7 linked regions of the Kluyveromyces lactis genome follow. The protein of the gene in region 7 purifies or fractionates together with the protein of the main gene of each other region. This does not show direct contact. Links are inferred from orthologs where the notes say so. Each region holds a gene or a part of one and is shown on either strand. Other genes may lie near its edges. The genes, in order: PRE1, RPT1, RPN14, RPN10, RPN2, RPN13 and RPN6.

Evidence for each region.
Region 1: the proteins of RPN6 (region 7) and PRE1 purify together in Saccharomyces cerevisiae (affinity purification with mass spectrometry; 4 studies listed by BioGRID). This does not show direct contact. The link is inferred for Kluyveromyces lactis from reciprocal best matches to the Saccharomyces cerevisiae genes RPN6 and PRE1.
Region 2: the proteins of RPN6 (region 7) and RPT1 purify together in Saccharomyces cerevisiae (affinity purification with mass spectrometry; 8 studies listed by BioGRID, with this or other methods). This does not show direct contact. The link is inferred for Kluyveromyces lactis from reciprocal best matches to the Saccharomyces cerevisiae genes RPN6 and RPT1.
Region 3: the proteins of RPN6 (region 7) and RPN14 purify together in Saccharomyces cerevisiae (affinity purification with mass spectrometry; 3 studies listed by BioGRID, with this or other methods). This does not show direct contact. The link is inferred for Kluyveromyces lactis from reciprocal best matches to the Saccharomyces cerevisiae genes RPN6 and RPN14.
Region 4: the proteins of RPN6 (region 7) and RPN10 purify together in Saccharomyces cerevisiae (affinity purification with mass spectrometry; 8 studies listed by BioGRID, with this or other methods). This does not show direct contact. The link is inferred for Kluyveromyces lactis from reciprocal best matches to the Saccharomyces cerevisiae genes RPN6 and RPN10.
Region 5: the proteins of RPN6 (region 7) and RPN2 purify together in Saccharomyces cerevisiae (affinity purification with mass spectrometry; 5 studies listed by BioGRID, with this or other methods). This does not show direct contact. The link is inferred for Kluyveromyces lactis from reciprocal best matches to the Saccharomyces cerevisiae genes RPN6 and RPN2.
Region 6: the proteins of RPN6 (region 7) and RPN13 purify together in Saccharomyces cerevisiae (affinity purification with mass spectrometry, with the first as the bait; 4 studies listed by BioGRID). This does not show direct contact. The link is inferred for Kluyveromyces lactis from reciprocal best matches to the Saccharomyces cerevisiae genes RPN6 and RPN13.

What each region holds. Positions count from the first base shown.
Region 1 is NC_006038.1:1,023,762-1,026,578, reverse strand, and holds PRE1 (proteasome core particle subunit beta 4), read left to right. Parts: upstream 1-1,726; coding exon 1,727-2,314; downstream 2,315-2,817. Other genes in the region: DNA primase subunit PRI1, read left to right, coding at 25-1,335; DEAH-box ATP-dependent RNA helicase PRP22, read left to right, coding at 2,653-2,817. UniProt on the Saccharomyces cerevisiae protein: Non-catalytic component of the proteasome which degrades poly-ubiquitinated proteins in the cytoplasm and in the nucleus. It is essential for the regulated turnover of proteins and for the removal of misfolded proteins.
Region 2 is NC_006041.1:1,214,441-1,218,106, reverse strand, and holds RPT1 (proteasome regulatory particle base subunit RPT1), read left to right. Parts: upstream 1-1,426; coding exon 1,427-2,854; downstream 2,855-3,666. Other genes in the region: AVT3 (Avt3p), read left to right, coding at 1-1,169; DNA-directed RNA polymerase III subunit RPC25, read right to left, coding at 3,035-3,666. UniProt on the Saccharomyces cerevisiae protein: The 26S proteasome is involved in the ATP-dependent degradation of ubiquitinated proteins. The regulatory (or ATPase) complex confers ATP dependency and substrate specificity to the 26S complex.
Region 3 is NC_006037.1:775,541-778,901, reverse strand, and holds RPN14 (Rpn14p), read right to left. Parts: upstream 1,943-3,361; coding exon 671-1,942; downstream 1-670. Other genes in the region: Golgi transport complex subunit COG7, read right to left, coding at 1-368; replication factor A subunit protein RFA1, read left to right, coding at 2,395-3,361. UniProt on the Saccharomyces cerevisiae protein: Acts as a regulatory subunit of the 26 proteasome which is involved in the ATP-dependent degradation of ubiquitinated proteins.
Region 4 is NC_006038.1:356,500-359,409, reverse strand, and holds RPN10 (proteasome regulatory particle base subunit RPN10), read left to right. Parts: upstream 1-1,354; coding exon 1,355-2,098; downstream 2,099-2,910. Other genes in the region: KLLA0_B03927g (uncharacterized protein), read right to left, coding at 624-872; GTPase-activating protein IML1, read left to right, coding at 2,539-2,910. UniProt on the Saccharomyces cerevisiae protein: Multiubiquitin binding protein.
Region 5 is NC_006039.1:807,148-811,450, forward strand, and holds RPN2 (proteasome regulatory particle base subunit RPN2), read right to left. Parts: upstream 3,032-4,303; coding exon 230-3,031; downstream 1-229. Other genes in the region: UTP7 (Utp7p), read left to right, coding at 1-41; KLLA0_C09306g (uncharacterized protein), read right to left, coding at 3,437-4,303. UniProt on the Saccharomyces cerevisiae protein: Acts as a regulatory subunit of the 26S proteasome which is involved in the ATP-dependent degradation of ubiquitinated proteins.
Region 6 is NC_006040.1:244,936-247,515, reverse strand, and holds RPN13 (proteasome regulatory particle lid subunit RPN13), read right to left. Parts: upstream 1,191-2,580; coding exon 570-1,190; downstream 1-569. Other genes in the region: KLLA0_D02904g (uncharacterized protein), read right to left, coding at 37-339; guanine nucleotide exchange factor DCK1, read left to right, coding at 1,497-2,580. UniProt on the Saccharomyces cerevisiae protein: Component of the 19S cap proteasome complex which acts as a regulatory subunit of the 26S proteasome, involved in the ATP-dependent degradation of ubiquitinated proteins.
Region 7 is NC_006041.1:136,755-139,979, reverse strand, and holds RPN6 (proteasome regulatory particle lid subunit RPN6), read right to left. Parts: upstream 1,784-3,225; coding exon 506-1,783; downstream 1-505. Other genes in the region: TPP1 (polynucleotide 3'-phosphatase), read left to right, coding at 1-412; dolichyl-phosphate-mannose-protein mannosyltransferase PMT1, read left to right, coding at 2,773-3,225. UniProt on the Saccharomyces cerevisiae protein: Component of the lid subcomplex of the 26S proteasome, a multiprotein complex involved in the ATP-dependent degradation of ubiquitinated proteins. In the complex, RPN6 is required for proteasome assembly.

The sequences.
Region 1 (2,817 bases), on a different chromosome or scaffold from region 7:
CTCATATTAACCGCTAACTTTGACATGCCATCCTTAGTTGACGCCGTTGAGCCTGGCTCTTCCACTGTACCATCGTCATCGACTACCCCATATGGAGGTGACACTCCTCCTTCAAATTATGGACCTAGTTCATCAGATATGCAATACTACTATCAACATCTGTATCCTTTTAAGCAGATATTTCAATGGCTGAACCATTCACCTAAACCAGGCCGTGATATCATCAATAGAGAATTCGCGATGGCGTTCAGATCTGGTGCATACAAAAGATATAATTCGTTCAACAGCGTACAGGAGTTCAAAGTACAGATCCAGAAGGCTAATCCAGATAGATTTGAGATCGGTGCAGTGTACAATAAACCGCCAAGGGAGCGCGACTCTTTACTTAAGACTGAGATGAAACCGATGGAGAAAGAATTAGTTTTCGATATCGATATGGATGATTATGATAGTTATAGAACATGTTGTTCTGGGGCACAAGTGTGTCCCAAGTGTTGGCACTTTATTAAATTAGCTATGAAAGTAATCAATTCATCTTTGGAAAATGATTTCGGTTTTGATGAGTTCATTTGGGTTTTCTCTGGTAGACGTGGTGCCCATTGTTGGATTAGTGACAAGAGAGCCAGGGTCATGACGGATTCTCATAGGAAGAACATGTTGGATTATATGAACGTGGTTAGGGATAGAAATATTGAGAAGAGATTGAATTTGGTTAGACCGCTGCATCCACATCTATCAAGATCTCTGGAGATTTTGAAACCTCATTTCGTTGAAATCATTCTAAGGGAACAAGACACTTGGAGAGATGATGAACTAGCGATAAAATCTTTGGCTACCAGTTGTCACGACAAACAGCTATCTGAGCAGCTAAAGAAACTATGGACCAACAAACCTGGAAGATCAAGTGAGGAAAAATGGAAGGACATGGATGTGATAGCGTCTCAGCTAATAAGTAGCTTTCCTAAACAGAGACAACACGATTATTTGCAGAGACTACGCGAGAGTAAAGAAGATATCATCATCCAAACGCTATACCCTAAATTAGATGTGGAAGTCACAAAACAAACCATCCATTTACTCAAGGCTCCATTCTGTATACATCCATCCACTGGTAACGTTTGTGTACCGATTACAGAAGAGTTCTCACCAGAAATGGCACCAAAACTTATAAAATTACAGAACGAAATGGATACTAACGATAATCAAGTGCAACGCACTTCACTACAACCGTACCTAGACATGTTCGGAAAGTATGTCAACAAGTTGGTCAAACAAGAATTATCCTCACAAAAGAGAGACCGTGAAGAAGATATCAAGTCGTCTATTGACTTCTGAATGCCTAATTCAGCTGTCTTGCATGATCAAGCACATATATACATATGTATATTTACAAATAAGAACAATACCTATTTATCGATACTACCTGAAACAAAACAGTAAAATAAAAAACATTCAACAAGTGTATTCTTAGTTACTATCACCCCACAATTGGCGCCTAGCTTGGGCTTCATTCCTGCGAATAAAACGCTTTGTCTGTTTCTCTCTCTGTGTATTGTCACCTTTCATACAGTGGAAAACCTTTAAATGATGTTTGAAAATGTTTAACTAAAATACAATTGACAAAAAGAACATACACTTACGGTGGCAAACCTTTATCAGGGAGGAAACAGGGAAATATAGGGTCTATCGACAGTGAAAAGAGTCAAAGTTTATACTAAATCTCCCAATGGATGTTCTATTAGGTATAAGAGTCAAGGATTCGGTGATATTGGCCTCTTCAAAGGCTGTAACTAGGGGTATTTCAATTTTGAAAGATTCAGATGACAAGACCAGACAATTACTCCCTCACACACTAATGTCGTTCTCTGGTGAAGCTGGTGATACAGTACAGTTTGCTGAATATATCCAGGCTAATATGCAATTGTATTTGATTAGAGAAAATTATGAATTGTCTCCTCATGCGGCATCGAGTTTTGTTAGAACAGAATTGGCTAAATCCCTAAGATCGAGGAAACCATTCCAAGTTAACGTATTAATCGGTGGTTATGATACCAAGAATGAGAAAGCAGAGTTGTACCAGATAGATTATCTAGGTACTAAGGTAGAATTACCATACGCTGCCCACGGTTACGCTGGTTTCTACACATTCTCTCTATTGGATCGTCATTACAGAGAGGATTTAACAGTAGATGAAGCCTTAGGTTTATTGAAGCAATGTGTACAAGAGCTAGAGCTAAGAATGCCAGTTGATTTCAAGGGGGTTATTGTAAAAATCGTGGATAAGGATGGTGTTAGGGTCGTTGACGACTTTTAGTGCAATCTTTCTAACCAGAATCAAGTACATACACATATTTACATCTTTTGTATAAACAAAACTCAAAGTAATATCTTATCTCAGAAATACCCAAGAGTCAAAAGCATTTTAAGTTTGGAGGTGTCGCTGGTAGATTAGCGTGTATCGATTTGTCTTCTCTCTCTTTTTGACGTTGATCAATATACAATTTTGAGATTTATTGACTTTATTGTAAACCATCTTATCTCATCTCATCTCAACAAAACATGAAAAAAAGGATAGGCAACATCACTGCAACAGCTTCGTCTGATCTGTCCTTTCTAGTACCTACCTAAGTTAAGGTTGCTGCTGCGAATAGCATGTCTGATGTCAAGAAGGAGATATGCAAAGTACTCGGTTTAGATGATGAGATAGTCGCTGATTTTATCATCAACATAAATAAGAACTGTACCACGAAGAATGAGTTTAAGAAAAAACTGTTGGAGATGGATCAGGATTTGAGTGCCGCTGTTGTGTCCGACATT
Region 2 (3,666 bases), about 1.1 Mb from region 7:
CCACCACGAAGGCGGTACTTCTCCTTCTAAAGTCGTTCGTAGGTACCGGGGTTCTTTTTCTACCTAGAGCTTTCCATAACGGTGGGTGGTTGTTCAGTACGCTGTGTCTTTTGTTCTGCGCCACGGTGTCTTTCTACTGCTTCATCCTGTTGATAGACACGAAGACTGCTGTTGGAGTGGATGGATACGGTGAATTGGGTTCACGTTTATTCGGACCCAAATTGAAGTTCACTGTCCTTTCATCGATTGTACTCTCGCAAATCGGATTTGCTGCTGCTTATACTGTGTTCACTGCAACAAACTTGCAGGCATTCTTCAAACATGTCTTTTCTCTCGAATACTCGTTAATCTTCTGGATTATGATCCAACTAGCATTCTATTTGCCGCTATCATTGACTAGAAACATTGCAAGACTCAGTGCCACCGCTTTGGTAGCAGATCTTTTCATTCTCTTGGGTCTAGTATACGTCTATTATTATTCCAGTTTCTATATTTGGAACCATGGCATCGCTTCGGATTCCATGGTGTCTTTCAACAAATCGGACTGGACGTTATTTATTGGAACTGCGATATTCACATATGAGGGTATCGGTCTCTTGATCCCAATCCATGAATCTATGGAAAAACCTGCACATTTCAAACCGGCATTGATGTACGTCATCCTCGTTGTAACAATAATATTTATCTCCTGTGGGCTCATCTGTTACTCTGCATTCGGAGCCAAAGTAGAAACTGTCATCTTGTTGAATTTCCCCTCGAACAGTATCTTCACAAACGCAGTACAACTAATTTACGCTCTGGCAATTCTCCTATCGACACCATTGCAATTATTCCCTGCTATAAAGATCCTCGAAAACAAGATTTTCCATAAGAATGCGTCCGGGAAATTTGACGCTAAGGTGAAATGGCGTAAAAATTATTTCAGAGCGTTCGTGGTCCTCATCGCAGTGATTATCGCATGGATCGGTGCTAACGATTTGGATAAATTCGTGTCTCTAATAGGATCTTTCGCTTGCATACCGTTGATTTACATTTATCCTCCTTTATTCCACTACAAAGTGTTCGAAAATAATAAAAAATTACAAGCAATAGACCTGGCGATCTTAATATTTGGAGCCCTAGTGATGTCATACACATCCTGGCAAACGATAGCATTATGGATTCATTAGGAACCTTATACACACAAAAAGACCTCTCATGTATAACGTATATAACGTTCATTAGTTGGAACTCTTTACCGAATATCAATAAAACCGGGTAACATTATCTCTTAACAGTGGAAATCTAACTTATGGAAATCGAACTAAAGATTTAAAGAGACTGATAATATGGAAAATCAGTTTGGAAAGGGTGGCGAATGGAGAGAAGTGAGGTCAATTCGTTATATATCGAGTTAGTAAGGAGCGCAATACATCAGTAAAACATTATGCCACCAAAGGAAGACTGGGAGAAGTACAAGGCTCCTATTGAAGACGAGGAATCGAAGGAGGAAAAGAAGGTTGTGCCACTTTCCGAAGGGGACATTGAAGTGTTGAAGACTTACGGAGCAGCACCATACGCTAAGAAGCTTAAATCTATCGAGAATGACTTGAAGGAAATTGAGAAGAAGATTAAGGAGAAAGCTGGTGTGAAAGAGAGTGATACAGGGTTAGCACCATCACATTTATGGGATATTGTTGGTGATAGACAAAGGTTAAGTGAGGAACAACCACTACAGGTGGCTAGATGCACCAAGATTATCAAGGCAGAAAAGCCCCAGAGAAGTGGGAACGCACTAGGAGGAGATGCTGATGGAAATGGAGTTGCAGCAGCAGCAGCAGCAGCAGCCGCAGCAGCGGCCGCTGCTTCTGGCACAGAGGATGAAGACGATGACGATGCTAAGTATGTGATCAACTTGAAGCAAATAGCGAAGTTCGTTGTCGGACTAGGAGAGCGTGTTTCTCCAACGGATATTGAAGAAGGTATGCGTGTTGGTGTGGACAGATCCAAGTACCAAATCGAATTACCATTGCCTCCAAGAATTGATCCAAGTGTTACTATGATGACAGTGGAAGAAAAACCAGACGTTACATATTCAGATGTTGGTGGTTGTAAGGAACAGATAGAAAAACTGAGAGAAGTGGTGGAACTACCTCTTTTATCACCAGAAAGATTTGCTACCCTTGGTATCGATCCTCCAAAGGGTATTTTATTATATGGCCCACCGGGTACAGGTAAGACTCTTTGCGCTCGTGCTGTTGCTAACAGAACAGATGCAACGTTCATTAGAGTCATTGGTTCAGAGTTGGTTCAGAAATATGTGGGTGAAGGTGCTCGTATGGTGCGAGAATTGTTTGAAATGGCTCGTACTAAGAAAGCATGTATCATCTTCTTCGATGAAGTGGATGCTATTGGTGGAGCCCGTTTCGATGATGGTGCCGGTGGTGACAACGAAGTGCAAAGAACGATGTTGGAATTAATCACCCAATTAGACGGGTTCGATCCTCGTGGTAATATCAAAGTCATGTTTGCAACTAACAGACCAAATACATTAGATCCGGCTTTGCTAAGGCCCGGTAGAATAGATCGTAAGGTAGAATTTTCATTACCTGATCTAGAGGGTAGAGCCAACATTTTCCGTATCCATACAAAATCTATGAGCGTTGAGCGTGGTATCAGATGGGAGTTAATTTCAAGATTATGTCCAAACTCTACTGGTGCAGAATTAAGATCCGTTTGTACTGAAGCCGGTATGTTTGCTATTAGAGCTAGAAGAAAAGTCACTACGGAAAAAGATTTCTTAAAAGCTGTCGAAAAGGTTATCAATGGTTACAAGAAATTCTCTTCCACTTCACGTTACATGCAATATAACTGATTGTACATGTATATAAATATATATATATATATATATATATAAGTACAGAATGCTTATAACCCTCATCATACTCAAGGAAACAAGTCAGCGTTAGAGACTTAATACTAAGAACAAGGAGCATCTTCTTTTGATTGAAGAAATATATAATGTACATATATACATACTTAAGAAATACACTTTTTATTCCCACCATGATACTAATCCAGTACCATCTGTTTGGCAACTTCCTAGTAGAGCATAAGCCGGTGGTTTTTCGAGGATCCGTTTCTCCTCTTCCGTCAACTCTTGCTTTGCCCTAAGCTGATCCTCAAGCTCTTTCTCCTTAGGCGATTTAGGTTTCACGTCTACAAACACTTCCTGTTCTACTCTGAATCTGATCTTTTCGTTGACATCGAAGTATAGTTTGGTCTCATCGTCCATCGGCCATATCCATGCATTCTCCTTCGGCGAGAAATATGAGCCCTCAAATAACATGTTTTGTGGTACAAATATATCTTCAAACAATCCGAGCAGTGAAACCTTGATACCTTCTGTTGTACACTGTGATATCCATCCTGTTACGATCTCTCCAACAAAAGGTTTGAACACTAAAGCGCGGAAAGTAACATTGATAAACGCTGCGCCATCACCAGGTTTTAGTTGCCCCTCATCAACGTCTAGTACATCGTAAACAGTTACGCACAATCCAATATGTGGGATGATCTTGTTGGCATATTTAGTGTTCAATTCATGTACAATGGTCGAAATTGTATCTCTTTTGAATTGATCTGGAGGTATCCTAACCAGATCTGCTACCTTTGTCAGTATAAACA
Region 3 (3,361 bases), on a different chromosome or scaffold from region 7:
TTAGAATTCAGCTCTTCTAATTGTTTATCAATAGCTTTAACGTCTGTCTCTAATAAGTTCACACTATTCGCTAGAGTATCCAAATAATACTCTAGTTTTGTTGTTCCTTGCTGTTCCTCATTTGCTGCGTATATAATAAGTTCAGCAGGCTTCTGAAGCACCTGAATAGTGGACTCAAGTTCTTTTGTAATATGCCCACTGTAATAGTCCATTTTTGAAAGTAGACTAGAGCAATTGGTCTTCAATTCTTCTAATTGGCTTGTCTGGAAAGATGATAACAATATGTCGACGAATGCTTGAGGTACAAAATCATCATCGAAAAACATGTCTAGCAAAGGGTCATTAGCACCAGATATCCTTCTACTCATCGTGTAGGAAATTATAGTGCTATATCGTCCTTCAAAGGTGATTTGGTGGCTTACTTGGGTGTTTCATGATCATCATATTTAGAGGTAGAAGGTTAACTTCTTCATTTTGATGTTAAGATTTCAAGATGATTTTTGGTGCCTTCAGATGCACAGTAAGAAAGGTTTAAAAGAGAAGGATACAATATCAAAGCAGATATTACTATACACATTGATGAGAGCAACGTATGGATAATTTATTGGACTATATATGGGTATAATTCTATTTACAATTCTATTGCTTCTCTTTTAGACTGGACGACAAATCAGTATTTCAATAGCATACCATTTTTTCCGACGCACCAAACATTTTGATGTGATTCATCAACACAGAAATCAGTCACTTCATCATAAGGACGAATTAGATGTGTAAGCTTATTGAAATTGAATTTCCCGTCCAAAACAGGTACATTGAAAGCAAATTGGACCCCACTAGAAACGTTCAACGTGTTATGTGCCAAGAATAATCTTGAGATAGAATCATTATCATTTACCTGGAGCGTCTCCACCGGTTTGGAAACGTTACGAGTATCCCATGATACTATCGTACCATCCGAATAGCCAGCAAATAGGTAATGGTCATCACCTGCAATGTGCTGGCTCGTTAGAGTGACACATGCAGATTTACTTGCCGGTAAAATATCCAATATCTTCTTTCTGTTATAGATATCATGAAACGTGATGATACCAGAGTCGTGTCCAGCAAATACAGCTTTCCCCTCAGTATTGTATTCGTTGCTATGGTCCAATGCATTGTACGATGTGGTCGCTGGATTTCCCTGGTAATTGGCCAATGAAATACAATTTATGCCATCGTTTGAATTGAGCGTAAAGACACATGCTGAAGTTGAGCATTCCCATAGTTTTAATGATCCATCCGAACTTGCAGAGACGAAGTTTCTACCTCTATCGACCATGGCAAAATCGTTGACTGACCGAGTATGACCTATGAAAGTTCTGAGCTCAGTACCGGTTGAAGCATCCCAAATCTTCAAGCGCATATCGATACTACTGCTTAAGAATCCATGGCCGTTAGGGAAAAATTGGGTCTTGGTGATGTGACTAGCGTGCGCTTCCGGTAACTTTATCACTTCTTGTAATGGACCGCTATAATTGGTACCGGTGTTCTTCCGTAGCACATATATGCCACCATTCGTATCACCACAAACCAAACGTATCTCGGGGTCAAACACGTTCGTGATATCTATACTTGTTAAATCAACAGCTCCAATATCAGAAGGCAGTTGGAACCGTTTTTTCGGACTTTGAAACGAAGCTAAATGTCCTGCTGTCGCATCAGGTCCTGTCAATTCATATAAATGTGGCCTTACCCTTTGAAAGGAAATTTTATCAGAAGTATTCGCATTATGAAACCCAACATTACCCCTGGAATCTAACCGTACATCAAATTCCAAATCGTATAATGGCTCACCACTGCTCCTGGATACCCATATCTTATCGCTGGCAACCTTTTCTCCTCTCACATCATCAAGAATATCATCAAACTCACTGCAAATGTTCCATTCCTCAACTCTCATTATATTTAACTAAGGGAAAATAACAGGAAGGTATACAGTAAAACGGGCAAATTGTTTGGACAGTTGATATCCACAGGAAACCTGCTGACATTATTGCTCAAAATCCATAAATCAGAAATCCACTGCTGGTGTTTAAGTTGTTCATCATCAATGAAGGTAATACGTACCTGATGCTCAAAAAACCCAAAGTCACGTGAATAACCACCTGAAAGATAGTCATGTGATACTCACGTGTAAGACGCGTAAACGCGAAAGCAATTTCCTCGATTTTATCCCTTTTATTTTGGTTCAACGAAAAATTTTCGAATTTCCGCAGAGTATATAAAGGCGAACTGTAAATAAACAACGCCATCTCAGGGTCAGTTATAGATTAGCTACAGGTGAAACCCAGGCCAAGTCGAGTCAAGTAACGGATTTGTTCTGCTATTTGTCTTTAAAATAGGTAGAAGAAGATGGGTGTTCAACTATTGGAAGGTGATTTATTGGATATTTTCCGTATTCCGGAGAGGTACAACAATCCTACCGGCGGTATTTACCAGGTTGTTCAAACCAAGAAGACTGAGACTAATGCTAAAAAGAATTTGATTCTCATCAACGATGGAAAATACCATGTCAAGGCTCTTTTGAGGAACAAAGCTGCAGAGGCGGCTCAACAGGCAGAATTAGAAAGAGGGGATGTTTTCAAAGTGTTGAACGCGGAATGCGCAGTGATCAAAGAGAAGAAGAAGTTTGTGTTGTTAGTAGATGAGATAGAGATTGTTAGCCGTGGGTTAGATTTGTTTAATAATGCTACAGAATTTGTCGATGCTTATTTGGGTGAACATATGAATGAGTTGGTGACTTTGACTGATAACGGGGCCGTAGCATCCGAGGCTGCATCGGCAGCTGCGTCTGCTACATCGTCTATGACTTCTAAGATGGCTCCTACCAGTACCAGCAACATTCCAGCCCCACAACCACGTTCTGTGCCCAAGGCAAAATCGAATAATGGGTCATCCCAAAATTCAAGGCCTATTTTTGCCATTGAACAAATTTCTCCATATCAGAACAACTGGACCATAAAGGCCAGAGTTTCTTTCAAAGGTGATTTGAAGAAGTGGCAAAATAATAGAGGTGAGGGCCATATCTTGAATGTGAATTTGTTGGATTCTTCTGGTGAAATTAGAGCCACTGCGTTCAACGATAATGCGATCAAATTTAACGAGATTTTACAGGAGGGTAAAGCTTATTTTGTATCAAAGGCTAGAGTGCAACCTGCTAAACCTCAGTTCTCTAATTTGAAGCATCCTTACGAATTAAGTTTAGAAAGAGATTGTGTCGTTGAAGAATGTATGAATGAGGATGCTAACGATGTTCCAGAGATGCATTTCAACTTCATCAAACTAAATGATGTCAATAATGTGGAAAAAAATACTGCTA
Region 4 (2,910 bases), on a different chromosome or scaffold from region 7:
AGAACTAGGAACCTTGGGTTTTTGTACTACTTAGAGTGCCTTCCTTCCAAGACAGTGGGTATCAGGAGGCTATTTAGAACGTATATTTCAACTTCTTTATATTCCCCGTTTCGCTACTCTGCTCATCAAGCACATCAAGACTATACTAATCAAACTATTTTTTTTAGTTACCGGAACGCACACAGTTGTGGCGTGCAGGCGTAATCACACGGACGCAAAGTTAGAACCATTGGTCCAAACTGTGTATGCGAGAATGAGTAAGACTGAATGCTAGCGAGGACGCTAAGGGAAGTTCTTTTTTTTTTTCCGGAATATCAGATGTTTACCTGCTGACTGGTAAGATAACAGTGGATTACTCTTTCACAACAAAAAAAAAAAAAAAAAGAAAACCGTGGTGTTTGTGTATGGTAAGACTTCTTGACCAACAAAAAAACATCACGTGGGAAATCATTACACGTGACTATTAATCACCCGGAGCACTAATTGGATTTCTCGCCCACTTTAATATCACCACAGAATTGGGGGGAAACAGTCTTTCGATCTTAGGCATGGTCACGTGGGAGTTCGTTCTGAAGTCCCCGGCATCCGTTCTTCGATTTGGTTAAACGATTTTAAATGCACTTCTAAACATCACCAGCCCTTTCACGGTCCAGGGTTTCCTGGATAGTTCCATCCCTCAATTTAGCCTTCTCTTTCCACGTAGAAATCACAGATTCCAGCATCTCTTTGGTGTTACCTTTCACTCTCTCTATCTCATTCAGGGCCTCTTGCAGTTTCTCTTCCTGGCGAGTTATTAACGCACTTCGAATCTTCTCTCGTTGCTTTTCAGTAATATGCTGCCCGTTTTTGGAACCATCTTCGCCGGTACTCATCACTGTTTCTCTATTAGTCACTTCGGCGGATAAAATCTCAAGTGCTTGATCTTCATTATTTCACCTGTTTGTTTACTTATATAAAGATCCGAAACCTTAACTTTTGGTTTTGACAGAGAGTTTGCGAAGTTTCTGCCATAATACGGAGAACGACAGAAGGCCCTGCAGATTGATCTGCGTGAAGGGGAAGAAAAAGAGAGATTGGATTTTTATTACCCGGATTTATTAATCTAGTGGGTAATTTGGTTCAAAGTAAAGTTAGGTTAATATTTAATATAGAGAAAAGAAGTAGTTCCTAGCTACAGTTGCCACCAGGGAAAAGAAGGTTAACTAATGGATAATTAAGTTGCTGAACCCATTCTATATCAATTAAGATTGCGTACCGCTATTCTATTTTAAAGCGAGATAATTTTTTGTAGTCTTTGATTGAATTATTCTCTTATTTGGAATCATTTTAGAACAGATATATTAAGGAAAGAGAGATGGTTTTAGAAGCTACTGTATTGGTTGTTGATAACTCGGAATATGCCAGGAACGGTGACTTTCCAAGAACTCGATTTGTGGCACAAGTTGATGCCGTTGAGTATATTTTCCAGGCGAAAAGAAACAGTAATCCAGAGAACACTATAGGGTTGGTATCTGCTGCCGAGGCAAACCCAAAAGTTTTATCCACATTCACAAACGAATTCGGTAAGATCTTGAGCGGACTACATGATATCAATATTGGAGGGTCCATCCATTTTGCCACTGCCATACAGATTGCTGCATTGACTTTGAAACATAGACAAAATAGAGTACAGCGTCAAAGGATTATTATATTCGTTTGTAGTCCAATCACTGAGGATAGACAGGATTTGATTAAGATGGCAAAGAAGTTGAAGAAAAATAGCATTGCGGTTGATGTTATCAATTTCGGTGAAACTGATACGAACGCTGACCTATTGGAGGAATTCGTAGAAACGGTCAACAGTGGGCAAGAGGATAGTAAATCTACTCTTTTGAACATTGATGCAGGCCCCAAACTACTCTACGAGCATGTAGCAGCATCGCCTATTGTACTTGAAGGTCCTGCTGCTGAGGCTGGCTTCTCAATGGGAGGTAATGACGATTTTATGGACTTTGGTGTTGATCCATCCCTAGATCCTGAATTGGCAATGGCATTGCGCTTATCTATGCAAGAAGAACAGGAAAGACAGGAACGCATAAGACAAAACTCGACAGAGTAAGTCATTCCTTTAAACTTCCGCATTCTTAACAACCTCCGTCTCATATAGGTATCTATTCTGTATACTAATGACCCAGTAAATCGTCATAACATGGCCCTTTAACAACTCAACTTCTTAATATTGTACCCTCTCCCAATATCGAGAAAGCCAACTTCAGTTCATGGTTTACTGCAAGTTCTCATGGTATTAACTATTAAGCTTCGAACATGTCCATGTATGAACATTGTCCTATTCACGTGATATATATTTTGTACCCTTTCAACAATAATCTACGAAAAAACCAATAATTTGAAAAATATCAAGATGCAGACAAGACAAAACACATATGGATGAAGAAAACTCATCCACTCAACCTCATTGTACTTTTTTTCTCCAGTTTGCATTGTAGAAGCAGTGAAATTGATCAATTGTCAAGGATCCCTAGTCGTCTTCCTTAAGACATGCCTCCCGGGGAACTTATATTTTCTAACCTAAGGTCAGGATCAAGGCCTGTTCCAAGGGACAGGGATGCCCTGTCATCAGTGCAAAGCGATGCCATCAGCACCAAATCTTCTGCAAGGTATAACTTTCAAGGTACCGGTTCATCTGATGCAACTTCTGGTACGAATGTTACAATTAGAAATAATACTTTGAGTATCGGCGTCAGCTCTCAAATGCAAGGATCTGCGTTCAACGGCCCTCGGATGCAGTTATCGACCAATGGTTTGAAAAATACTCAATCTAAAGCCCTGCAGGCGCAATCACAAGATGGTTGTCAGGATAGTAAGAATATTGCGGATAATGATAGTGACGCAGAAGCGAGAACAGCTAAA
Region 5 (4,303 bases), on a different chromosome or scaffold from region 7:
ACAAAGACCTTGTTGATGAAGCCTTATCAAGATTTTCTTGAATCATCAAGTAGTTATCAATATGTATACTTACATGAACACTTATATAATCTGTTATTATAGCCGGCTTAGTATCGACTGTTGCAAAAACATGTTTGAATTATTTGCATATAGATACGACTTAGTTTGAGGTGATTATTTACTGTACATTATGAAGGATGACCGCTATTGCTAGGACCTAATTTCTCGATTAAAATTCAAGAGAATCCTCGACTTTAAATGAAGATGGTAATGGGGCATATATATCTTTTGTTTGTCTTACGGTCTTGATTAATTCTAGTGGTTCTTCAGGTGTCTTATCCTCAACGATAATGACACCTGAGTTTCCTCTGAATTTGCGAACAGGTACAAAACGGCTATCTTTCGCAAAAGATATGAATTTGAGTTGCTGCGGAAGCACACGGGTGAGGTTTTCAACATCATAGCTCGTTGTCGTGTATTTGATCTTAGCTTCTTCAGTATTCTTGGCCTCTTCCTTCTTTTTTTCCTCCAGTTCCACCTCTTGCTTTTCTTCATTTACTTTTTCTGCATCCTTTTCTTTAACCTTTTCATGTTCTCCTTTTTTACCTTTCTTAGCTCTTGCCTTGGCCTTGGCGGTAGTTGACAAGACGGCAGCTGCAAACTTTTCTATATTTTTGTCCACCTCTTCTTCGTACATGCGAGGATAGGTGAAAATTCCCTCCTTCGTATGACATTTGAAAGCAAATTTAGGAATTGCCAAATCGCTAGCACGCAAACCCACTAAGGTAGTTGGAGTGAACGAAAGCGATAAAAAGTGGGACAATGGGAACCAGTACCAAAATTGGGAGAACATCATTAAACCAATTATTGATCTACTGTTCAAAGTTCCCATTTCGGTGTTCTCCAATTCGATGGTTACATTCCTACCACCAGCGTTCATGATACCTTGGGCAATACAGGCACCGAACTTTGCTAGTCCTTCCTGGTGCTTGTTTCCAATTACTGACATGAACTGTTCATTAACTTCCTTCACCTTTGAATTCGTTTTTTCAGTCTGCTGAATCAATATCATTGAAGTGGCAATCATAGCAGCTTGACGAACATAATCAACTGGATCCTTCAAAAGAGGTTCTAATACATCCACAGCTGCCTGTAAGCCTCTACCAGCGCAGGATACACCCAAAGCGAACGCAGTACCACAACGGACATGAGCGTTATGTGATTTTGACAAAAGTTCTACGATTCTTGGGACGGTAGTATATTCACGAATTAACACGAAACCTAGGGCAGTGACTGCTGCCCTTCTAACATCGTCGTCGGAGTCCGAGACTGCGACGTGAAGAAGTTTTTTCACAGCCTTATTATTTCCGGTCCCTGCATGGGCTAAGGCGATTGTGTAGGCACCACCATAGCGTAACAGGGCGTTCTCACTGGCTAGTAACTTATCAATCAAGTCGTCAGCTAGTTCCTCTTTGCCGTAATTTATGAGAGCTAAGGCAATCGATAAACTTCTTGTGATATTACCGTGTTGAGTCTCTTCTGCGTAAGTTAACAAGTCCTGAATAACAGTTTGGTTACCTGAACCTAGTAAAATTAAACCAATAGCCAAAGCAGCCGCATCACCAGATTTAGCTGAGTCTCCATATAACACTTCTTTCAACATCTCACAAACATTCACATCGTCCGAGCCCATACCTGACAACCCAATACCTAAACAAGCACCATGTAGCAACACATCTACATCCTCTTCTCCAACGGAAGAACTATTAGCTTGAATTTGCTCTTTTAAGTAGTCAGTTGATTCCTTACCGTAGCCGGCAAAAATTAAACCTAGACCATATAATGAACCACCTTTGATATACCTCGATTTTGAACCATTTCCTGGCAAATAAGGCTCCATTATCTTTCTTCCATCTGAGAGGTTGCCTTGGTGAATAACACCTAGTGAAGCAGTAGCGGTAAATTTGGCCCAGTTTTGGGCTTTGCCTAACCATTGTAAATTTTGTCTGATAAAACTATCATCCGTAGTCCCTGCGTGCATAAAAGCATTGGACACACTCACAGCTGTGTGGAATAAGGAGAATTTACCATCCAAAGATGATTTCATCTTATTCAGAAGAGCCTTGTCTATGGTTTTGTTCTCAAATAGAAAAGTGTTTTGCAAATCGCAGGTGGGTATACCGGAAAGGATTTCAAGTAACTTAGGATCGTATACATTGGCGTCCAAGGAATTAGAAAGATCCTTCAATAATCCCTGAGAGGCTGAGTTTACTAGGTCAAAAGCGATTTGGTAGGAAACATCATATGATTTAGTTGAATTTAACTTGAAGAAGAGCTCCTTGGCAAATTCGATATCATTTAACTGTACGATAATTTTTGAGATAATAAAGTAGTCTGGGGCAGGCATGTTCATGACAATTTCATACAACTTCTTCAATACGCTCAATTTAAAGCGAGTATTGGTTAATGCAGTGGTACATACAGCCAATGTGTAAGAGCACAATTTGAGGGCATTAGTACTGGTGTCCTGGGAAGTGAGAAGCTTCTCAACAACATCAAGTCTGTAACTTTCTAATGCGATTCCCAATGCAAGTTTATACTCCCCTGAAGAAACACACTTCTTCAACATTCTCTCAAAGATAGAAACCAAATGTGGATCAATTTCAACAGGTTCCGATTCGTAGTTACTAGAAGCAAATTCAATATACATTTCGATACTCTGTGACACAATCGTTTCGACATATTGCGACTGTTCATCGATATTCAAATACTCTCCTGCAGCTAGGGCATACTTAACCGCTAGTTGATATTCTCCAAGGTTATAATACACTTTTGAGGCCACAATTGCTGCTAGTCTACGATCAGGAAAGGATACATCATCATACAATGCTTCTATTTCGGTAATATCATTTGATATCTCGGACCACTGTTGATCTACCACGTCTTTAATTGATTGTAATGCATGAGTCTTAACAGTGTTGTCAGATTCCTTCAATAACGCCAAAAGCGGCAATGCAGATGTAACTGACATTCTGGTTGAGTTTACGGCTTTAAATACCTTAAGTCTCGATGTAACCTGGTAATGTGCAGATGTGGTGCGAATAGTAAATGACTTTATTTATATACTTTTGAAGCTTCTGTTCTAAAGTTTGCCACCGTTTGTCAAATTAAATCAGAAACCATACAAAAACTACCCTAATCGTATAGAATGATTTTATAGAGCCTCTTCAAGAATATGCTCTCCACCTCCATCAGGAAATGTGCTTTGCAAGATAGTCGCAGTTGTCCAGTTGATCAATATTGCACCATTTACAAAATCGAGAAGCACTATTATCATGCATACAATATATAATTATACGTTCTATCCTTTATCTATACCGATATTATAATTGAAGTGAAAAGCAACTAAGTTGAATTAGTATTCTAACATAGCATTTTAATATAGTAATCTGATTGAAATCTTGTAGTCAGTTTCGTTCAACTCATCGTATATTTGTTTGATATCACTTTGGTTAACATTTGAAATATCAGCCATCAAATATGCGATGTCCCCGTTAGAATCAGAGAACTGCTTTTCGATGTTGTGGTTGGACAAGATGTTGTTGACAGTTTTCAAAACACCAGGAACATTTTGATGGATATATAGTACACGTACAGTGTTTTCTTGATCCAGATCTAATGCTCTTAATGAAACTTCTGGGAAGTTAACGGCACCGACGGTGTTACCTTCGTTGATGTATTTCGTTAGTGCAGTAGCCACTTCGATACCAATAGAACTTTGGGCTTCTTCAGTAGACCCACCAATGTGTGGAGTCAAGATAACATTTGGTAAGGAGACCAAATCAGTTGTCCATGTGTTCAAATTATCACTGAAGGCACCAGCACCATTCTTAGCAGGTTCATTTGGATACACATCCAAAGCGGCACCGGCAATCTTGCCCGCTCTCATTGCTTGAATCAAAGCAGGAATATCAACCACAGTCCCTCTAGATGCGTTGATAACGTATGAGCCATCCTTCATAGCAGCAAATTGAGGACCAGACAATAAGTTTTTAGTTTCTGGAGTAGCTGGAACATGACAAGTCACAAAGTCAGAATTGTTCAACAATTCATTCAAAGTAGAAACCTGCTTAGCAGTACCCAAACTCATAATAGTGACAATATCATAGTAGAGAACGTTCATACCAAGAGCTTCAGCCAAAACAGATAATTGAGAACCAATATGACCGTAACCGATGATACCCAAAGTCTTACCTCTTACTTCCCAACAGGCAGCAGAAACCTTGTTCCAAGTACCGGTGTG
Region 6 (2,580 bases), on a different chromosome or scaffold from region 7:
CTGCCAACGGTCAGTATTAATTTTGTTTCCATTTTCTTATTCTGATTGTGAATCTTGCTTCTTTAGCTTTTCCTGGAGGCCCTTATTTCTAAGTCCTTCCAGTAGAGCTCGTGGTCCTTCTCCGGTATACGAATATCCAAACATTTGTGAGAGTTGTTGTCCCGAATAGCTCTGCTTCGTAGCTAAGTCCAAAATGTCAACTGCTTGCTGAAAGAATGGACCTCTTACACATTTCAAAAGGTTTTCTTTTCCCTTTTCGACATCCTCAGGCAAACAGTTACATAATTCTTTGAATTCGGTAGACTCCTCAGAAAGAGATCCAATATACTTCACTAACATATCTTTAGTTAGGAAATCAGAAAGATGGTTTATACGGATGGTACTAGGACATAGTATTAGTAAAATATAGTTTAATTTGGTAATGATAAAATCGTAATGATTTGGAAATAACAGATCTGAAAAGAAGGAGAGTTGGACGTTGAAAATGCCTATCAAATCTCAAATACTGTTTACAGTTCCTTATTTTTGATCTATTGCTTCAAAATGAGTAATGTACAACGCGTATATACTTACGGATTGGAGTCGGCCTTCGGCTGTTCATTGTCTTGAGGGTCAATTTCCATCTTTTCCGGTTCTTGTTCTTGTTCTTGTTCTTTGACTTCCTCTTCCTCTTCCTCTTCCTCTTCAAATTCCAACAGTTTCTGAAGCTTAGCAAGTAACTCTTTATCCTTTTCACTCCATTCGTTCAACGATTCATTGCCTTGGTGCTTTTCTTGTAACCAGAAAAACCATTTCTCACCAGTAGAGAAGAGTAAACATAACACTCTGCCGTTCTTAGCTGACTTTATATCGATCCATTTCGTCTCTCCGGGAATCAAAATAAACTCAATTGGTTCCACTGCTGACCCTGAGACTCGATCCTTAGTGCTCCATTGGAAATCGAAAAACCCTTGCGCTTCTTCACTGGGTTTGATCTGGATCTCCCCCTTCATCTGCTTCGGCGTACAAATTTTACTCTCCTCATCATAATCACATTTTCCTGCCCTAAAACTGATCGCCTCTGTCATATCAATATTCTTCTCTCCTCTTTTAAACCTATACCACTGGTCTGACAATCTCTCAGATGTTCTATGATTGATATCTTCGTGTGTGTAGGTCCTATTTAAACAGTTTGCCACTGCTGACGCCATTTGTTCATATTTTCCTTAAAAGAATAATGTTGTAGGCTTAATCATGTGACCAAGATATGGTAGTATTTTTCTATGAAAAATTTCTTATGAAACCGCTTGGAAAGACTAAGATGGTAGAAATCATCACATCATGAACGGATATTTAATTCAGAACTAAGTGAATGCACATTGGGTTGGACTTGTACAACATCATTAACACCGATCAGTGAATGCACTCGGAATTCTAGATACAATTGGCTAGTTTTCGGATATCTCTTGCAACTATTTTCGTCACAACTATTGATTTAGTGGTGGTTTTTTGTACGAATGACGAAATCGAATAATGATGCTACTGCCAATGGTAGTAGCGACACACCTGCAAACCACACGGAACTGAGACAGTTCGAATGGATCCCCACTGATAGATTGATTCCAGGGACTGTTGCCCGAGCGTTTCTTCCATTAAAGAAGTGTCCAGAGCTAGTATTGAAATCATCGGATTATGTTGATCTGTATCCTGGCGATGAAGTTTTTGTTATGGAACAGACCAAGGATGGAAAATGGTGCCGTGGTTATGTTAGCAATGATTTAATGCCAATCGACTTCATGAGCAATATGGGATCTGTTACTGACAATTTACCGAAACAGAAAATTCAACGAGTGATTTTCCCCAGACGATTTGTTCATTTGGATTTTGACGAGCAGATCGAGAACTATGCATTCTTGAGGTTCCCCACTGGTACTGAATTAGAGCAACAGGATGGTCGACTCAAAAAACTACCGAGTTTGTATCAATTAATGCGTGCTTCGAAAGTTTCAAGAGAAACTCCACCTCCATATCCATTTTTCGTTGCAAACGGATATGCGCTAAATCGTGAAATCTTGTTAAATTTATTCACATTAACAAAACATATTTATTATCTTTACTCATTTGGTGAGTTTGAAATCGTGGATCAGATGGTCGACTTATACTACAAGTTAGATGCAGTCAGAATTCAACTTCAAGCAAATTTTATGGCCACTAACGAAAGATCATTGATCATGAAAAAGGCTACTGCCTTGATGAGCATATTTTCAAAGTTCATCGCATCACATTCAGTGACGAAAAAAATCGGCTCATTGCAGAAAAGGAACAGGATTGATCCGTTCGGGTTCGAGTCAATCTTGACTCGCGACCAGGCTACAGGTAAGCTTTTGACGGATTCTGTATCTCCTCAATTAATGGCCACAAGTACGTCGTTATATGCCATGACAACAAATTATCCAGTCTCCAATGCAAACGATTTAAAATTGAAGCCGGACGAAAATACCAAATTTAAATCGTTCCCACCTTCACAAATTTTGGTTGATTGTCAAGAGATTATCGGTACATTAGTTTCTGATCAACACGCAGAAGCCTTAACCGCCTATT
Region 7 (3,225 bases):
ACACGTTGATAAAATTTGCAAAGTATTGAAATACATATCGGAAAACGATTCTCAACTGTGTGATCGTATTTGGATTTACTGTGCTACTAAAAAACCAGCTTCCCTTTTTGGTGGCAGCAAAGCCGCCAGCACTGCTCACGCAAATAAAGTTGTTAAGAACATTATTTCTGGCCAGAAGAAAAGAATAAACGGGACAATGGTAACACCTGAAATGTTTGATAATGTGAGAAAACCCAATCGTGGTTTGTTTGATGAATTTCTTAAAGATTCTGACGAACAATCGGACTCAATTGAACTTTTATTTTACTGCGGGGATGCTGCAGGAAGACCAAATGATTTTAGTGACAGTGACAAAGAGTTTGCTAAAATATTGGGCGTACCTTTCAAGGTACCGGAGGAATACTTTATTTGAATTTCGAATGATCTTAAACCTACGTAAAATATATTTATTTACTAAGTTACTTTAATGATTGAAGGATGAGCGTATTATAATGAATTTTTAATTTTAGTATAATACAGCGGCTTTTTCAAAGAGTTGTTCTACAACTCCATTGAGTTGATTGATCAATTCTAACGAAGAATCATAAGTGGCATCCTGTTGTGGTGTCTCATAAATATAAAGCCATCCGTTTCCTTGGTCAAGCACACCAAAGAAAACTTTGTCTAAAATCATTTGTGAAAGTTTGCCCTCTACTTGTTGAGCATCAAGCCCGATAATCTTTGAGATATGCGATACTTCAACACATTCGAATGGTTCGATGATCTTACTAAGATTTGATTCCAAAAGGGTGTCGTATAATGCATTGAAATGTGATCTAATGAGTTCATCGCCCATCAATTCTGTCTTATAATTTTGCATTGCTGTATTGAACTCCAGTAGGGATCTATTATTATAAGCCTCAGCGACTGCCTTCATGGCGTCAATTCCGCGACTTTGGTAGGTCTCCTTAGTATATTTGGCGTTCAAGATAGTTTTCACTTCATCAATCAAATTAAGCATGATCTTTGAAAGAAGCATATACTTTAGCACTTGACAAGCTTTTCCGAATGTGTTTGAGCCAGTTTGGCTGTGGAAGGCTTCAAAGGATTCATAAAAGTATGAGAAAGCAGTCTTATAATCTTTGTCTTCACAGTGTAAGATACCACTCATTAAATCCAATTCTGCCATTGTCAATGTTGGACAATAAATCGAATTTGCGGATGTTCTAGCACTTGTCAAAGCAGCCTTTGATTTAGTCAAATTTCTTAATTTATGGTACACTTTACATTCCAATAGATGAACTTCGAGCAAAGACGATTTATCGTCCAATTTCTTAAACTGCCTCAACAAATCATTGATCAATTGCAAGGATTCGTTGTAATGCGTCTTTTGGTAGTAAAGAGTTGCCAACCTAATCGATAGAGAATGCTTTAAAAAGATTCTCTTCTCCTTTGTGGCAAAGTCGATCGAATCTTCGCATATCTCGATTTGGGTATCCAAGGAATCGGGTATCAATTCGAAATCGTTAAGTAACGTCTTTAAAACTTTGGCAATCTTTGATTTCGCTACTTTCATCATGTATTCACGAGAGCGTGGTACAAACTCGGCGAGTTTCTTCAACTGATGTGTGGTACCATACAATTGACCTAGCTCAAGAATACATTGTTCCTTTTCTTGAGCATCTTTATTGCTAATTGATTGGGGTTGTGCGGCATCTTGATGGTTCAATACTGCTAAGAACTGCGCTTCAGCCTTCTCATAATCTTCCTTCCCTACAAGATTTCTAGCTTCTTCCAACGACATATCTAAGTGGGATTATTTGCTTTCTTTCCTGTTCCTTTCGTAGTTTAACTTCAGCTTCTGCTAGACGATCTCTGGCAGGTGTAGCGCCAATTGTGTCTACCTCGATGTTTTCGGTTTGCCACCTTATTTAATTTACTTTAACTATAATCTCTTGGACAAGATTATATATATCATTCTACTACAGAAACTGGTTCAATTCAAGGCGATCATTTGGTACGTAACTTGAATAAGGGTAGACTATTCACGTGACTTATACGTCACGTGAATCGAAATTAGATTTCCTTTACTGTCCTAATCTTAGCACAGATACATCCGCACGAAAAAAAGGAAAAATAGTCGCGTTTCGTCCTCCGTGATGTGTTTACCATTCCTCGAGAATAGCACGTGAAAGACCCTTCACTGCATTCACTTCAGCCAATCTTTAAACTCCTCACTCTCATCTGCCGCATATGCTGATCGGTACTGGTAATCCACATCCTCAGGTTCATTGTCTCTCACATGTTCTGCAGCAATTACACACCTGTAACTCATAATTTTCACCTCAAACACCTAAAATCACCTATTTGTAGATATCTGAAAGAAAAAAAACTTAATTTCACTGAAAGCTCGGTATGGGTAAATATTATATAAATATATTTGAAATAATAGTATGGATGAAATTAAACAGAGACGTGTTCATTTTGGCAAGTTTTGGGTGGAATAAACTTAGGTTTTCTTTTGCAGATAGAGGTATCAGTCGACCAGTATCTGTGGGAAACTTAGATAGGAGCTAGACAATTTCAATTGGGACCTTTGAACTGGAATTGAATTTTTGAATTGGTTTTTTTTTGTTCTCTCTTCTCAAACATTTAGTTACCATTTCCAAGGCTTTTTCGAAGTGAGAAAACATCTGTTGTCTGTATCTGTATCTGATCTGATCTGATCATTGATTGTATTTCTCATTGTAAAGGTATCTCAGTCTCACTCTCTGTTTGATTTTGTTGTAGAAAATGGGTAAGACTAAGACCTCTACTAAAGTACAAGATTGTGTTCTCGATGTTGATAGCGTTGGTGACATTCAAGTTGAGAAAGGTCCATTGAGACCTTTCTTGGTCACTGAGCCACCAAAGAATTTGAAATCTATCCGTACGATGACTTCTAGTAAAGAACGTTTGGTTGTTATTGCATTGGCTGTTATCGCATCCGTTGTGAGACTTTGGAACCTTTCGGATCCAAATTCCGTTGTTTTCGATGAAGTTCATTTCGGTAAATTCGCAGCTAAATACATTAAGGGTATCTTCTTTACCGACGTCCATCCTCCGTTAGCTAAGATGCTTTTTGCTGGTATTGGATCATTGGCTGGTTTCACCGGTGATTTTGAATTCAAGGATATTGGTCTTGCATTCCCAGCTTCCACTCCATACTTCGCTATGAGATTCTTCTCTGCGTTTCTAGGTTTGGCT